Linked DNA regions of Arabidopsis thaliana. The protein of the gene in region 2 interacts with the protein of the main gene of each other region in a pairwise test. Each region holds a gene or a part of one and is shown on either strand. Other genes may lie near its edges. The genes, in order: bZIP16, GIP1 and GBF1.

What was found.
Region 1: the proteins of GIP1 (region 2) and bZIP16 interact in a two-hybrid assay, tested with the Arabidopsis thaliana proteins (one study listed by BioGRID).
Region 3: the proteins of GIP1 (region 2) and GBF1 interact in a two-hybrid assay, tested with the Arabidopsis thaliana proteins (one study listed by BioGRID).

What each region holds. Positions count from the first base shown.
Region 1 is NC_003071.7:14,923,237-14,928,736, forward strand, and holds the start of bZIP16 (basic region/leucine zipper transcription factor 16), read right to left. Parts: upstream 3,374-5,500; 5' UTR 3,216-3,373; intron 2,831-3,215; 5' UTR 2,790-2,830; coding exon 2,703-2,789; intron 2,496-2,702; coding exon 2,439-2,495; intron 2,359-2,438; coding exon 2,281-2,358; intron 2,124-2,280; coding exon 2,034-2,123; intron 1,943-2,033; coding exon 1,883-1,942; intron 1,784-1,882; coding exon 1,614-1,783; intron 1,442-1,613; coding exon 1,387-1,441; intron 997-1,386; coding exon 966-996; intron 868-965; coding exon 593-867; intron 519-592; coding exon 441-518; intron 367-440; coding exon 241-366; intron 167-240; coding exon 44-166; 3' UTR 1-43. Other genes in the region: AT2G35540 (DNAJ heat shock N-terminal domain-containing protein), read left to right, coding at 3,922-5,500. UniProt on the Arabidopsis thaliana protein: Transcriptional activator that binds to the G-box motif (5'-CACGTG-3') and other cis-acting elements with 5'-ACGT-3' core, such as Hex, C-box and as-1 motifs.
Region 2 is NC_003074.8:4,252,114-4,257,613, forward strand, and holds the start of GIP1 (GBF-interacting protein 1), read right to left. Parts: upstream 2,166-5,500; 5' UTR 2,094-2,165; coding exon 1,916-2,093; intron 1,460-1,915; coding exon 1,416-1,459; intron 1,298-1,415; coding exon 1,231-1,297; intron 1,151-1,230; coding exon 1,024-1,150; intron 943-1,023; coding exon 689-942; intron 560-688; coding exon 319-559; intron 189-318; coding exon 26-188; intron 1-25. Other genes in the region: AT3G13224 (RNA-binding (RRM/RBD/RNP motifs) family protein), read left to right, coding at 2,735-2,790, 2,932-2,972, 3,108-3,271, 3,373-3,478, 3,573-3,742, 3,969-4,508. UniProt on the Arabidopsis thaliana protein: Plant specific protein that enhances G-box-binding factor (GBF) DNA binding activity. May function as a nuclear chaperone or lever and regulate the multimeric state of GBFs. May contribute to bZIP-mediated gene regulation.
Region 3 is NC_003075.7:17,309,888-17,315,387, forward strand, and holds the start of GBF1 (G-box binding factor 1), read right to left. Parts: upstream 2,602-5,500; 5' UTR 2,320-2,601; exon of another isoform or gene 1,904-2,319; 5' UTR 1,866-1,903; coding exon 1,806-1,865; intron 1,717-1,805; coding exon 1,672-1,716; intron 1,561-1,671; coding exon 1,471-1,560; intron 1,364-1,470; coding exon 1,274-1,363; intron 1,155-1,273; coding exon 1,015-1,154; intron 929-1,014; coding exon 871-928; intron 793-870; coding exon 744-792; intron 658-743; coding exon 536-657; intron 448-535; coding exon 370-447; intron 286-369; coding exon 160-285; intron 53-159; coding exon 1-52. Other genes in the region: HB40 (homeobox protein 40), read right to left, coding at 4,762-5,004. UniProt on the Arabidopsis thaliana protein: Binds to the G-box motif (5'-CCACGTGG-3') of the rbcS-1A gene promoter. G-box and G-box-like motifs are cis-acting elements defined in promoters of certain plant genes which are regulated by such diverse stimuli as light-induction or hormone control.

The DNA.
Region 1 (5,500 bases), on a different chromosome or scaffold from region 2:
TTTTTTATACCTGTGTTAGGAATTGGTTTTGCTCTATGTCTTCTCACGTTGAGTCTTTGTATGAATCAACCTTTCTCTCTGCGGCACCTGTTTGATTGGTGTCTGGTTCTTGGTGGTCATTGTCCATGCTTATGCCTTCAAGTGGAGGGAATAATGAAAGTTGGTCCTGCAAGAACAAAGTTGGTAACTGTTTCGTTGGCTGGCTCTAAAACTAATTTTGAAAGATTACTTTTTTTTTACCTTGAGAGAGGTGTTCTCGGTGGTAAGCTCTTCGCATTGGCTTTTGAGCTTGTTGATTTCTGCTCTGAGATTTGTGTTTTCTTCGTTCAACACCTCAGCGCGTTGGGCCAGCTCATCACATTCGGCCTAAATCACAAACACCGGGTCAATAATTTGCTCACATGGGCGTGCTAGAGGTGATCTAAATGGATGTTTAGTACCTGTTTACGCAACCTTGATCTTCGAGCAGACTCCCTATTGGACTGCTTCCGTCTCTGTCGCTTAAGTTCTCTATCGTCCTAATTGCAAGACAAACAAATCTGAGTTTGAGGATAAAAGGCGATTTAAATCTGCCTAAGAAAGGTGGGCACACCTGTAACCAGGGTTGTGAATGGCCACCATCTCGCGAGCCTGGAGCAACAACTCCAGGAACTGGTGTAGATACTTTCCCATGCATTCCAGGGATACCAGCTGAAGTTGGAGCACCCCAGTAATCCATCCCAATATTTAAATTTGTTGGTGGGCCAGGAACACCTGCAGCTGTCATTGGCATGATTGGTACGGTCTGGCTCACCGGTAGAATAGGTGTACCAGCACTTCCATTTTGCGGACCATTGGCAGAACCACCATTCTCTGATGCTGCTTCAGCTGAATGGAAAAACAATAAAGAACTCTCTGATAAGTAGCTTTCACGGTGTTAGCCGCATGATAGTAACGAAAGGAAAAAGAAAAGATCGTAAACCAACCATCCTTTCCATCTAGTCCAGATCCCGAATCCTACATGAATTGCAAGCAAATCAGAATCAGTCATAATTACTGTAAGAACTCCTCACTCCCATAGAAAGACGGAAATAACATTAAGACTTTTCGAGCCCAAAGATCCAACAAAAACGTTTGATGAGGCGACATATGGAACGCAAAGGTTATGTGTTCCAGTGTGCAGATTCCAAGTGTTAGCAACACTCATAAAATTTAAATGAGAAATTCCAAGGGACTGACAGATCTGAATAGGTCAATCCAAATTCAGATTCATGCTAGATTCTTAGCAAACAAACTAGGTGTTCCCCATGAAACAGCGCCTCATCACAACATGGTTGCCAGAATGAATGCATACCAACAAAGATATAATTCAAATGAAAAGGCTGATGATAGCTATCCGAAACTTACATTTTGAGAGTTCCCATCACTTCCTTCACTTGAACCATCAGAAGCACTCTCCCCACTGTAACCAAACAATTCTGACAATCTCAGAGCAATAATAGAATGAATATTATCTAATGAAGTAGCATAAGTCCAAAAGGGGTCCTAGTCCAAACATAATAATATTTCCAAGATAACAACCATGCATACATGCCACGTCACATAGACCGGATAAAAACAAGCGTGTTACATGCCTTTTGGAGTAAGCTCCATTAGCTGATGCTCCTGAGTTTTTCCCAGGTTCATTGTTCTTTCCTGTAATCATGTTCAAACTTCCCAAGCTTCCTCTTGATCTTTTGATGGGCAATTTTTCCTTCACTTCAGATTGTTTAGCATCACCATCAGTGCCGCCTGTAGTATTGCCCTGCATAAAATCATCTCTCAATTATGTTCCTACAATAAGCAAAGGTAGCAAAGACCGTTTGAGAAAGAACGAATGAAGTATGATGGGACGCTAACTCACAGAAACTTCAGTCATTCCATTTGGAGAAGGCATAGCATAAGGGCTATAGGGATAAGAACCCTGATACAGAATGGAACATATTAAAGATATAATTAACAGCTACATTTTAATTTATGTTCACTGCAATTGAATCTACTACAGTTGGCAGTACCGGAGGCATTGAAGGATGTGCGTACATGCCACCTGGGGGATACATTGCAACATAAGGATGAGGCGGAGTTCCATAAGGAGGCATCATATGCTGCAAAATTTAATGTCTCATTCAGTAATCAATCAAAGATATGATGAAAGACAGCTGAACGAATTCGTTATAAGTCAATAAGAATGTTGCAATTTTCCAGCACTCTGAACACCGATAGACATCACAGTAAAAAGCGATAAAGCGTAAGCCAGTTCACCTGAACTCCCCACATATAAGGGTGAGGTTGGGGACTAGATGCCACATAACCATGAGGCGGCGGCATAGGAGAATATGCCTGTCGAAAAGAAAGCCGTAAAGATCAAATGCAACAAGAAAAGAGAGCGCAGATCCATAGATGGAGGAATCTGTCCTAACCTGAAAACCAGACCAATCTGGAGTAGCCATGCCAGCACTCACAGCCGATGAAGGTTCCTACAAACACAGAAATATTCCAACTAAAGCATATCACTGATAGGTATACAAAATCACAATTAGCTGAAATCTAGAATATTTTTATTTTCCTTTCTAGTATCTCACTTCTAATTCGGCTTCTAATAGCTTAAATCATGGGATTTGTTTTCCCTTTTTACATTATGGTCCTCTTAAGAAAATTGGAAGCAGAGAAGGGCAAACACAAACCTGTGAAGAGGGAGGGGCAGTAGAAGAAGGAGGAGGTGTTTTAGGTTCCTTCTCTTTACTCGATTTTTCCATCTCATTGCTAGCCATTATCACGTTCACTAATTCCTAAAACAACTCGTGATTGCTTCCTGCAAGACGAAGTCAGCTATAAGCTAACTCACTACGAGATCTACTCATGCATAAACTCAACACATCCAACAATTCAACATTTCAGCTAATAAGATGTTAGAGATTTCGTTCCAAACTTCTCCTATTGATCGTTGACCAATACAGCTATATATATATATATATATATATATTGATAATCCAACAACAGCTTAAAGGTCTAGTCTTTTTCTCAAGATGCAGAAACAGGTAAATAACAATGTCGGACCGGAGAAACACAATAACACAAAACCGAGAAGTATATATAGAAACCCTCGAAAAGCCCTAGAAAACTCAATCGAATTCAGAAGAGAAACGCTAAAATCTAACCCCAAAGATACAAACTTGGAGAGATGTGAACAGAAATACCTAACGACTGGTAATATTTGGAACCCCTCTGAGCACAATTTCAGATGCGGTGTGAATCTCTGAGCTTAATTTTGCAGAAATTTAAGAGAATCAATGTCTCTTGACCAAGATAAATAAATTTGCTTGATTTGTTTTTTGTTATCTGACGGAGAAGAAAGGGGGCGTGGAGTTCACGAGGAATAAAAATTGCTTCTTTGCCCAAATTTAAGTATTTTTATTAAAAGCCCTTCTTTATAACTTATTTATGAACTTTACCCATTTAAAGCCTTACAATAATTTGTAACCCACCCAAAATGTCACAATTTGATAAGGAAAAAAGTTTCTCCCCAATTGAAAAGGAAGATCTTTAAAATCAAAATTGACATAAATATATGGAAAAAGTGTCTTTGCAAAAGTATATTTTAAATGTTATGAATAGGTTTATGTATACAATACACATTGATAGAATGATAGTGCATTGACTCATTGGTAATGTTACATGTCATCAAAAACAATAAATGACTTTATGACAAAATAGTTAGGAACACTAACAAAAAAAACTATTGGGCAGAAAAGAGATTCTTAATAAATAAGAGGGTGATAAAGAAAATAATAAAAAGACTAGGGTGAGTGAATTCAAGGGAATAGAAAAAGCAGAGCTCTCTCTCTCTTTTTAGCCCTCTCTTTCAAAGTTGAAGTTTTTGAAGGCGTCTCCGGCTACACAGCAATGGCTTCTGGATCAGACTCAGAAGTAGAAAAGGAATCCATACACCACAAAGCACTAGCGGAATCGAGTTTCAATTGCGGTGATTTGATGTCGGCCTTAACTCACGCGCGGAAAGCTCTCAGCTTGTCTCCGAACACGGAAGGTTTATCCGCCATGGTCACCGCTTTCGAGATCATCAGCTCCGCCGCCACAGTCGCCGGAGGTTTTCCGGAATGGTACAAGGTTCTAAAGGTAGAGCCTTTTTCTCATATTAATACCATAAAACAACAGTATAGGAAGCTAGCTTTGGTGTTGCATCCTGATAAGAATCCGTATGTGGGGTGTGAGGAGGGGTTCAAACTTTTGAATGAGGCCTTTAGGGTTTTCTCTGATAAGGTTAGGAGGACTGAGTATGATATGAAGTTGAGGATTAGGATTCAGGGGGAAATGGTTAGCGGTGGTTCTGGTGGTGATGAAACGTCAACGTTTTCGGCGGTTTGTTCGGGTTGTAGGTCGGTGCATAAGTTTGATAGGAAGTATTTAGGACAAAATTTGATGTGCCCTACTTGCAAGAATAGTTTTGAGGCGAAGGAAGTTGAGAAGGAAGAAGAGGGTAGAGAAAATGGAGCTTGTACTTCCAAGATCATAACATATAGTAGGAGGAAGAGGCCTGTTGATAGCGATGGTGAAAGTCTGATAAAAGAAGTTGAGACAGGGGAGATGAGTCAGGAAGCAGCAGAAGCTATTAATGTATTTGAGGGGTCGGATGAAGAGGATGAAGGGATGATGACTTTGGCAGAAATGCAAGCGGTGATAAAGAGAAATAAGTCGAAGGTGAATTCGAAGATCACTGAGAAAGATAGCAGTGGAGAAGAAAACATGGGAAGGGAAACGCAGAAGAGATCTTTAGCTGATGCCTCCATGACTGAAACGTTAAGGGAGATGAGTACTAACGCAGTGAATAATAAACAAGAAGTTTTAAAGAATAGGAAGAATATAAAGAAGAAGAAGATGGCGAACCACAAGGATTTAACTGAGATAGTGGATTTAGAATACGTGCCTCGGGTTGATAGGAAGAGGGATCGTGGTAAGTTAAGCCAAGAAATGTATATGGAAGACGAGGATTTTGAACTGTATGATTTTGATAAGGACCGGATGCCGAGGAGCTTCAAGAAAGGGCAGATTTGGGCGATATATGATGGTGGTGATGACAAAATGCCTCGGAGTTACTGTTTAGTTAGTGAAGTAGTCTCTTTGAATCCTTTTAAGGTATGGATCAGCTGGTTGGATTTTGAGAGCGAGAAACTAATCTCTTGGATGAAGATTAGTTCTTCTCATATGCCTTGTGGTAGGTTCCGGGTTTCAGAGAAAGCTTTGATAGAACAAGTGAAACCATTCTCTCACCTTGTCAACTGCGAAAGGGCTGCACGAGAAATATACCAAATATATCCAAAGAAAGGCTCGGTTTGGGCAGTCTACTCAGAGACAAATCCAGGTCTTCAGAGAAGAAAGACCAGACGCTATGAGATTGTCGTATGCTTGACAATGTATACTGATGCATATGGATTAAGTGTAGCATATTTGGAGAAGGTTAACGACT
Region 2 (5,500 bases):
GTGGGGCTTCTTGATAATAACCAACCTGATGAGTGTCTGTGATTGGTAAAACCTCGTTCTTTACTTTATCTCCTTCTGAACCTTCTTCAGGGAGAACAGTTTGATCTGGCTGCAATGTTAACTCGTTCTGAGCTGCTGAATTTGAAATCTCATGATTCTTATCCTGAGAAAAAGTTGATATATCTTTCCTGCAAACCAAGTTTCATATAAAGGTATTCATATCAGAAACTCATTCATCTGAGACTCTAGATCAATTCATGAGAATATTGAAGCAAGTAACACTGTAAGATTTACTCAAAGTAGCTATTAGTCACCAACCTAGCTGATGCGGCTGTCCCATGAGAAGACTCAATATTGGAGTCATCACACCCAATAGTAAACTTGTCAGAAGATGCCTCTCTCACAAAATTAGAATCGAAGCTCCCAAATGTCAGACCATTTTCCAGCATTTTGGCAACCTGAATGTGGACAGGAAATGTTACGTGCGGCCGTTCACCAACATCCGACTTGAGAAGCGACTCATTCTTGCATTTACTGGCTGCAACCTCACTCTTAATGACTGTTCCAAATAAAGCCATACGTCGAATCACATAAGAGGCTGTAATCAAACTCAGGAACAACTTAACAGAATACAGAATGCACTTAAAGCAACATTAGCAGGCAAGTAATTATATGGTATAATTTATACCTCGCTCGGACTGTTGTGGGATCTGAAAAGTTTCAACTACAGCATATTGAGTATCGTTTTCTACAACAGAATCTGATACAGCCACTGATACACTACTTTCTTTAGACTTATCCGGCTCAACAACATCCTTAGAAGAAGAAGTAGCCTTGGAGAGAGGCTGTTCCTCTGTGTCCACCTTGTCCACAGGGGATATGATAGCATCTTGAATTTTCTGGTTACTGATTCCACTTGGAAGACTTATAGGGTTCGGGGCCCTGAAAAAGAATAGAATGCGTTAGGAAGCCCATATCCAAAGAGGGAATTAAAGACATAGACAGAATTAAAAGTATGGATACATTATGGAAGAAGGTTTTGTGTCGTTTCTTGCATTGTTAGGAGCAGACGAAGCAGTTCCAGAACCTCCTATTATGTGATTAGCTCCACTCTGCTTTTTAAAAGCTGCACTTCTTCCATTACTGGCATCTGAATCAACAAAGAGCTTGAATCAAGGAAGGAAATATAGAACACAAGTTTAGAAGTAAAAGAACATAAACCACAATGACCTGTGTAACTTGAAGCAAAGTTCTTCCGTCCAGTCCGGCCCCTTCCTTGTGTATTTGGCACTAAATTCTACAACAGGTAATACACATAAAGGCATAAGAGAAACGAGATGATGTAAGCTAAACAGAGAACTCAAGACCACACTTAAAATGCAAAGTAAGGATTCAAAAGAACATAGGAAAGCTACCTCTTTCTTTCTCTCCCGTTTGCTTCTCACCTCATGAAATGTATCTGAAAGATCAGTAATAATATATGAGTACATGTCTGCTATCAAAGTACATGATTATGTTGATCTTGAAACAGTAGACAGAATCAAAACTTAACCCAGATGCCCAATCTCAATCAAAGCTAAACAGAAATTCCCTTTCCACATTCCAGCTAGATTGGTAAAGATTTAAAACGACAGTTTCTTAGTCATGAACCCAAATTCTACATATTCCATTTCAGTAAAAAAGATTCCTTATTTGAACATCCCCAGACATATTATACCAATTAGAAATCTAAATAAACAAAACATAAGATTCTAAGCATAACACACAGATTCTAAGACAAGACCAAAATCGACAAAGGGCATTAAATAGCAAAATCCAAAACAAAACCCTAGGAGAAGCACACGCTCAATACAACAAAAAGGAAGTAAAAACACTAAAACAAAAACAAATGCTGAAGCTTTCTCAGTAAAACAACCTAAATAGAGAAGCTTCTGAGTGGTCTCATGTGGATCACTGAAACACTCCTTAAAGACAGAGAAGATATCCTCGTCGGAATGTTGTTTACCGGTAACCTCTCTGATGTTTTGAATGGTTTGAAGCAGATCAGCCGGAATAGAAACCCTAGAGCCGCCATCGCCGCTGATCCTGCTCATGTTGGTTACAGAGAGAAAGAGAAGCGGAGGGAGGAGGAGAGAGGAAATATGGGTTGAACATAAAGACTTCGTATATAGTACTATTATTTATTTCCGTACAATCTACCGCTTAATGTCTCTCTCTACGTATATTTATACGCTGACGTCACTGTTTATCAATTTCCTCCTCATTATTTGATTGAGTACTATTATTTATTTCCGTACAATCTACCGCTTAATGTCTCTCTCTACGTATATTTATACGCTGACGTCACTGTTTATCGATTTCCTCCTCATTATTTGATTGTTTTGTACGCGTTTAATGGAAGGAGAGACAACAAAGTTGATATGGCCGAGTTGGTCTAAGGCGCCAGATTAAGGTTCTGGTCCGAAAGGGCGTGGGTTCAAATCCCACTGTCAACAATTTACTTTTTTTTTTTTTGTCTTTTTACAAGAATAGGAAAAATAGACAGCTGTGTAAAAAAATATTAACTTTGTTTTGTTTCCACAAGTCGATGTCCAAATTTAAGAATATATATATATTACACGATTTAGCTATCTCCTCTAATTAGATGAAGAGACATCAGATCTTATCAAAACCCTAGCTTTCGGTGTCTCTCTCGATCCTTTAGCTCAATCGAAAACTGAATTTAGGAGCTGCGATGGGTTCCAGATCTCGTAATGATAATTTCCAGTCCGGCGATGGCGCTAGTCCTGGGTACGTTTACTTCTCCTACCTCTTGCATGTTTGATTCCACAGGATTAAGGGAAATATCTCATAATCTGTTGGCTTTGTAACTCTTTTTATATTGTTGGTTAAGGTTTAATTTATGTTTTGCTTGGAATTTTTGTGTTGCAGGAAAATATTCATTGGAGGATTGCACAAAGACACGACTAATAGTAAGTTTCTTCCTCTTGTTTTGTTCTAGAAATTGCGTTTCTAAGTTTTGTTATGTTATGGATTCTTGTGTGTGTTTCTGATGTTAGACCTGTTGGAATGTTGATTCTACTTGCTCACTTTGGTTTTGATTGCAGCTGTGTTCAATAAGCACTTTGGCAAGTACGGGGAGATTACAGATTCTGTCATTATGCGAGATCGACATACTGGACAACCTAGGGGTTTCGGTTTCATCACCTTCGCTGACCCTTCTGTTGTTGACAAAGTTATCGAAGATACTCATGTCATCAATGGCAAACAGGTCGGCCACTTCTCTTTTCTTCCTTCACTAGCTTATAGTGTTCATTTTTAGTAGGGTGTTGGGTCTTGATCAATACTTTTTTCCTTGTTTTGATGGAACAGGTTGAGATCAAAAGGACTATTCCGAAAGGTGCTGGTGGCAATCAGTCAAAGGACATCAAAACAAAGAAGATTTTCGTTGGTGGTATACCCTCAACGGTTACAGAAGGTAGACCTCCCTCTTGGCATGATATTTTTTTGCTTTCCATGAGAATGCTGGTTTCCTGTCCTTATTGAAGTTGGTTTCTTTTTCTGTTGATCAGATGAACTTAAGGACTTCTTTGCCAAGTATGGGAACGTGGTGGAGCACCAGGTTATTCGAGACCATGAAACAAACAGGTCCAGAGGTTTTGGTTTTGTAATTTTTGATAGCGAAGAAGTCGTAGATGAATTATTGTCCAAAGGAAACATGATCGATATGGCAGACACTCAGGTAAGCTTGTACAAATGGGGATTAGAATTTTGGTTCATGATGACATATTTATCTTGGTTTCAATTTGATATTTTCTCCTTGTTCCTTTCATTATACACGTTTAACTTAGTTAGAATTCTACCCACTAGCTTACCAAATGTAAGGAGCTTGTCACAGTAAGATAGGAAATCCCTGCTATAGTTTGGGTCCTTAGCATAGCTAGGTTAATTAAGTTGCTTTGTTGTAGGTGGAGATCAAGAAAGCTGAACCAAAGAAATCTCTAAACCGTTCACCTCCTTCTTACGGTAGTCACCCTAGAGGTCGTTCTTCTAACGATAGTTATGCAAGTTATGGTGGACCTTACGGAGGTTTTGATGGAGGGTATGGTCATCCTCCAGGTCCCATTAGGTCACATGGAGGTCCTGCTAGTAGATATGCTGGGGGATATGGGTATGGTCGTGGCAGTGTAGGCCCTGAATTTGGAGGAGGTTATAATAATTATGGGGGTGGTAGTTTAGGAGGTTACCGGAATGAACCACCCCTTGGCTATTCTAGTCGTTTTGGACCCTATGGGAGTGGGTTTGGTGGTGAGGGATATGGCCGTGGAGGAGAAGGAGCCTATTTGGGATATCCTCGTGGAGGAGGGGAAGGCTATGGGGGATATGGTGGGCCTGGTTACGGCGGTGCATATGAATCTGGTGGCCCAGGTGGCAGTTATGAAGGAGCAGGTGGTCCATATGGGAGGGGTTATAGTAGCAGTAGTCGATACCATCCGTATGCAAGGTAGGGTCGAGGTAATAGCAATCAGTTGGAGCTATAGAAGCTTCTCTCACAGGTTCCTCTAGATTGTTCCAATTGCTCTAGGTGCATTCTAGAGTTATCATGTAGCGCCAACATCAGGAAGGGTTGCTAAGGACAGGAAGAGCATCAAAAAGCTTTTATTAGTCATCTTTTAGTTGTGTGTTTACCTAATTTAAGTGTTGTCTTATCTCTATAACTTAGATTGTGTTATGTAGACTTTAGCATATTTGGGCTTGGAGTTTGTTTCTCACTGGCACAAGAATGATTTATCATTTGGTAGTCTTGTTAGATGATCAATTACTCGCTTAGCTTAGTTTTCACAATCATACGAATTAGCTTAAGAAGCTCTGCAAAATGTGCACTCATCTATTCTTTAGAGCTCAAGTTGAATGCTTTATGTGGTCTCTTGTATCTCTGTACATTTTGTTGTGCTGAACAAAGGTTTGACGGCAGTTAGTGCATGTGTAAGTAGGCATATTTTTGTCAGCTGCATACGTAGGTTCTAGCTACAAATTGGAATTGTATGTGTTTGAAAACGTAAAATCAATTATAAATGTTTTTGAAAATCATCTATACAAGCATGGTTATTTGGTTCTTGTTTCCTTATTTTTTCGGGTAAGGGCCACGGATAATTGGTTAGACATTGGTTCTAATAATGTGGGTTTTGTTATCTGTAATTTCTCGTCAAAATGATGTACTGTATCATTAAATGAATATCACTTATTGTACATGCTTTTATAAGTTAATTGAAATCCAAACTCTTTTACGTTTTAAGTGCAAGGATTGAATGATACAAACAGCAAAGAGACAATTCTAAGACAAAGTTTTCAAAAATTTATGACGACGAATGTGTCACACGTACGACACATTAAAAAGAGTTGACAAAAATACATAATACATAAAAGGTCTACCCAATCATAGTTGATAATCTTAATTAGTGATTAAAACGAAGGTGTAAAGTGTAAACATGATTTTAAT
Region 3 (5,500 bases), on a different chromosome or scaffold from region 2:
TCTGTTCTAGATTAGCTACAGCCTCTGCTCCAAGTACTCTCTGCAACTCATCCTGCATTATTCCATGACTCTAGTGTAAATGCAAGCCGATAGAAATAAGATAAAAGTTGGAAAGAGTATGATTTTCGCAGAAATTTTTCCGGATAAAGAGTTTGTCACCTGGATTGAGTTGTTCTCAGACTTGAGCTTATCACATTCGCTTGAGAGTCTCTGTAGCTCATCTCTCAGGCTTTGATTCTCGTTCGACAAACTCTCTACTCTTTGTTGAAGTTGTTCGCATTCGGCCTATTCGAAATGGTTTATTATGGAATGAGTAAATTACAAGAAGCAGACAGAGTAAAATGATACTAACACACAAATGCATATTACCTGCTTCCGCAATCTAGACCGCCTAGCGGATTCACGGTTAGATTGTTTCCTCTTCTGCCGCTTGAGCTCTCGTTCATCCTGTTGAGTAATCAGAGGATTTTGTAAGGAAGAATGTAACGAATTCGGAAAAGCAACCTTGCAGGGTGAAATGAGGAGTTGGTCACACCTTCACTGGTACACCAGCTTGGGAAGACCATAAGTCCATCCCGATATTCAGATTAGTCCCCGGGGCTACCGGCTTCATGGGCACCGAACCTTGGATTTCACCAGTCGTACTTTGAGAACTTGCTGTTCAAGGAAACTTTACCAAGTCAAGAAACATGGAAAATACATGCAAAGAAAAACCATGAAAACTGCAGCGGTCAAAAGCATACCGTCAGCAAGCATCTGTCCAAAGCTTGGCTTTCGAATTGAACCCTGTTCCTACATTAACATGAATCTCAATGAAGCACATCACAAAGTATTGTAGCAACAGAGAACACTTCAAACACATAACAGTACCTGTTGATTGGCATTCTCATCATTTTCATCAGATGAACCCGCTGTGACACTTTCATCACTGCACAACGGAAAAATCATAATTACATATGACACTGCAATCAAACTGAACAAGCACCACGTTGAGTAGAGTGTTATAAAAATCACCTATGAGAGGCACCATCGTTCCCTGAACCAGAGAGCGCTTTATCACCTCCTTCAGCCTTTTTTTTCGAGTTCCCCTTTGACTTCTTGCCAGAAGCTTGGTCCTTCGCAGGCTCCTTGTTGGTAGGACCAGAATTAGGAGGCTACAACAAAAGAAATGTCGAGCAAGTTTTTTACTTTCTCATTTATCTATGCATTGCCATGTAACAGAGCAAAAAGCTTTCAACGATAGCTAATGTTGTATTAATGGTATGGAGATTACCATGGGCATGCTAGGATGAGCATAGACTGCCCCCGGGGGATACATTGCTGGGTACGGAACTGGGGTGCCATAAGGCGGCATCATATGGTGCTGAAAGTAATGCAAAACAGAGAAACTCATTTAGTGTTATCCAAAGAATAAGATGCAAACTTCTTTTTCATAGAATCATATCAACAACTATACGATACAAAACTTACTTGAGCACCCCACATATAGGGGTGAGGACTAGGAGATCCAACTGGGGATGGGAAAAAAGGATTTGGAGTACCTCCTCCGCCATAATAAGCCTAAAGAAATAAGCATATACTATTATGTTCAGCAGTCCCGGTGTTTTCGAGAAAGTATTCACTTACACTATAAAAACTAATAGTGACCAAAGTTGTACATGTAACACGAACCTGCATTGAATTTTGCCAATCTGGATACGGTGTGGGAGGAACTTCCTGAAAAAGAGAGAGGTAGATACATCAAACACCTTAAAATATAAAACAGAACAAAGATGTTGAAAAGAAAGGAGAAGAGAAGGATTAACCTGAGCCGAAGATGTTGGTTTGGTAGTCTTAAATGGCATCTTGTCTTCGCTCGTTCCCATTGTTTTATAAGCTTACTACTTACTTGTGTTACTCAAAACTATAAACAAAAATCAAAAATCTTAACGATAAATAGTAATCATAAAACATCAAAACTAAAATCTTTTGCTTTCAATTATAACAATCAATGACTTTAAAACAGAACAAGAGTAAGGGCACTGTTCTTTTGCTTTCATTTATAGCAATCTAAAATCTCTAAGCTTCGAACCATGCATCAGTATTTTAAATCACACACACACACACAATTCAAACTTCAGAAACCAACACTCAACGAATTCTTAAGCAGAAAGACAATCTCATACTTGTGAATCATCATCTCCAAAACAAGCTCTGTTTGCATAATTGATTAAAGAATTCAATTCAAGTACAACAGAATCAGTTACATGCAAAGGTGTTTGTTTGCATATGAGAAATTAAACGAGAGAAAAAGTTAGAATAAAAACAGAGAAAACAGACCAGCTTCTAATTGAGTAAAGTGATGTGGAAGTCCAGCTAGGATTTTAATAGATGCCGACACGTCCTCTCCGACAGATCAGACAAAACTCCGGCTCCGAAGAAGAAGAAGATTAAAACTCCGATTGTTTACTTTTGTTAGGGTTTTATCTCTTTTGCTGCTTCATTGAATCTGTCGGAGAGTTTTTGATTGAAGATAGCAAAAAAAACAAAGGAAAAGAGGATTGGGATTTTCCGATCTGGTGTGGCAAAGTCCGATAGGAGGAGAAGAATGCGAAGAAAGAGGAAAGTTTTTTTTTTCTTTGGGATTTTAATTTTAGGGTTTGATGATCTGACACGTGCGACAATGAGAGGTCCAGCTGTACACGTGTTACTGGATAAGGTTTTGACACGGTAGCTACAGTTGGTGTGACTCATCTACTCATTTATTACAATCAAAAAGGATATTCAATTTATTATCATTATTAGCGATCTAATTAAGTACATGAATATTAAAAACATTTAAAATATATTTTGATGTAAATTGATAACTGTCAAATTGTCAATGATAAAACCCTTTTTACATTTATATGATTTTTTTTTGTAGATAAAGAGTCTTTTTTCTTAATTTTGTTTCCCGTTGTAGTGCATAATATATTATGTTAATTGTTTGTAATCTTTTTCTTTAACAAGAAACTAACCAAGTCAAAGCTATTTTCTAGGTTTGCATGTTTGTGTCATTTTACTGAAAAAAAAAAAAAAAATAGTAGTAAGTTTTTTAACGTAGAATATTAAAATTTGCTACAGTTGTTGATATTAAATCGATAATTTAACTTATCGTTAAGATTTAAGAACTAATCAAACATGACGACAAAAAAAAAAAAAAATCAAACATGACGACGAAAAAAAGAGAGTCAACGTGCATCAGTTTATTCAATTGCTAATTAAAAACAACTAATATCCGAGACAGGCCCTTAGTGTTTGTCAAGCTAATTTGGTGGAATCTTAAGCCCATTGGGCCTACTTTAATAAGTCCCTAATATTATTGCAAACATACATTTTTTTATAGGTGCCAGGAGCAAGCCAAGATGTCTCCAACGTCTTGTGATTTTCTGTTTACAAATGAAACAAAATAAAAATCTAAATATGACTTATCAATAGTTAACTGATTGATAGCAAAATTCAGTGCATTCTTAAAAAATCGGTTTTCTTAGGTAAATATAGCATCTATCGTAGAGCATTAGTATTACCATTACGTAGTTGATGTGATGGATCACCATATCAAAAGGTCCAAGACTTTTCTTTATATATATACAATCTCATCATATGACGACTCAAACAATATAATACAACACACTATATACAGTGAATGTGTTGAAAGTGGTTACGAGTACTTAAAACAAACCCAATTTAGAAAGAGCCATAACGTTACGTTTTCTTTACACTTCGTTTTCTATATACCCAAAACTAAATTAAATCCTTCGCTTATTCGCCAAACACTTCTTCGTGGGTCCATAGTTTCTAAACTTTACGAGACCATAATGTTTTCGATCTATAATTTTAATTAATTAGGATTTAGTATATGTCTAAATCAAAAATATCTTAACGTCAATCAAAATCCAGAAGACTCTAATCAAAGAATCTCTAGTCATGTCCAAGAAAACTTTGATTTTCAGAAAATGCACTTGTACAGTTTACAATTACTGGAAGAGGTTTTAATCAAAAGAACATCTGATCTTGTCCAAAGACACTTTGATTTTTCCGTTGATTAGAAAACGATGTGTTTTTTCTAACATTTTGAGAAACGCATGATACGTGGTAACTTTTGATGACTAATACTCTCATTTTATATTATGCGATCAGATCACTAATAAGTAATAATGATTACGTGATGAATATATTATGTATAAACCATAATATAAGCTTACACATTAGTTGTCAACCGATCTATAAAAGTTGACTCAAAATGTTTTACCAGAATTAGTTATATTTTATCCGAACTTCTCTTTTGTATAAATCGGGCAAACTCTTATCCATGGAGATAAAAAGTTTTAACAAATTTGCTCATCTTATCTTCATGTGCATGTCATCTAGTCCTTTGTCTTCTACAATTTTAAAAGTAAAGGTTTTTCGAATCTTGCAGCCGATACTGCTTTTATGGCCGCACTTTTTTTTTCGTTAGTGAAACCAAATTACAGTTTACTTATTATAATTAAATCCTAACGAATTCATATATATTTTTCTTAGAAATTTAATTCAACAAAGTAGCTAATTTTTTTTAACTACTTAAGCAATTTTATATTGTTGCTTTCATAAAGATAGCCAAATTACATTAGCGAGAAACTCATCGTCAATATATTTGTACATTAGAAATGCAACAGTTATATAATCTAGTAAATTTACTTAGAAATATGCTTCCCTAATTCACGATACTAACTTGATATAATATTACATTAAGCTAGTAATTTATATGTATAGACTCATCCATTCCGCTTCATCGATGTAACTATTTTCCGGCACCGGATAAAACAAGTGATCATAGTCATCGCCATCATCTCCGACTTTATAGTCTCCAAAAAATGGCGTTTCATTAGCTTCGACGGAAACGGAAGACGAAATTGGACTGTTGCTTGAGCCTCCTTCTACTCTTTCTGCTAATCTTTGGATTTCCCTCTCTGCATCATAGAGTTGTTCTTTGAGCTGAATAACCTGTTCAGGAAAATTATTGTAAAATTAATCATTACGTAGCTTAAATCACCGATGCAAGCATCTGATTACACTTAAATGGTGTTTTTAGTCAGTGGGCCTACTGTTGAACTGAGCCCATTGACAATGACAAGCCACTATTAAGAAAATAAGAACATTGTACGGAACATATAAAGGTGTATATGTTGTGTAATAAGGTGGCATTATACTGTTCGATATCAATATTTTTTTTGTTATCAACTTCACTTTCTGTCTCATTTATTGAATTTTCTAATTTCTTCGAGCCTTGAGCTCACGTTCATTTATGCCAAACAATAATTATCTAAAGAATTTGTTTACCTTTTACTATGCAATTGAGTGTAGGAACAAGGTGAAAAAAAAAAAAAAAGGTCGGACGAAAATTCTAATTACTATTATGAAAAAGCTTGAAAAAATAGCCGATTCATGCATAAGTTAAACGTATAGCATTTTCCTTAATTATCTATGTAGATTTAAAATT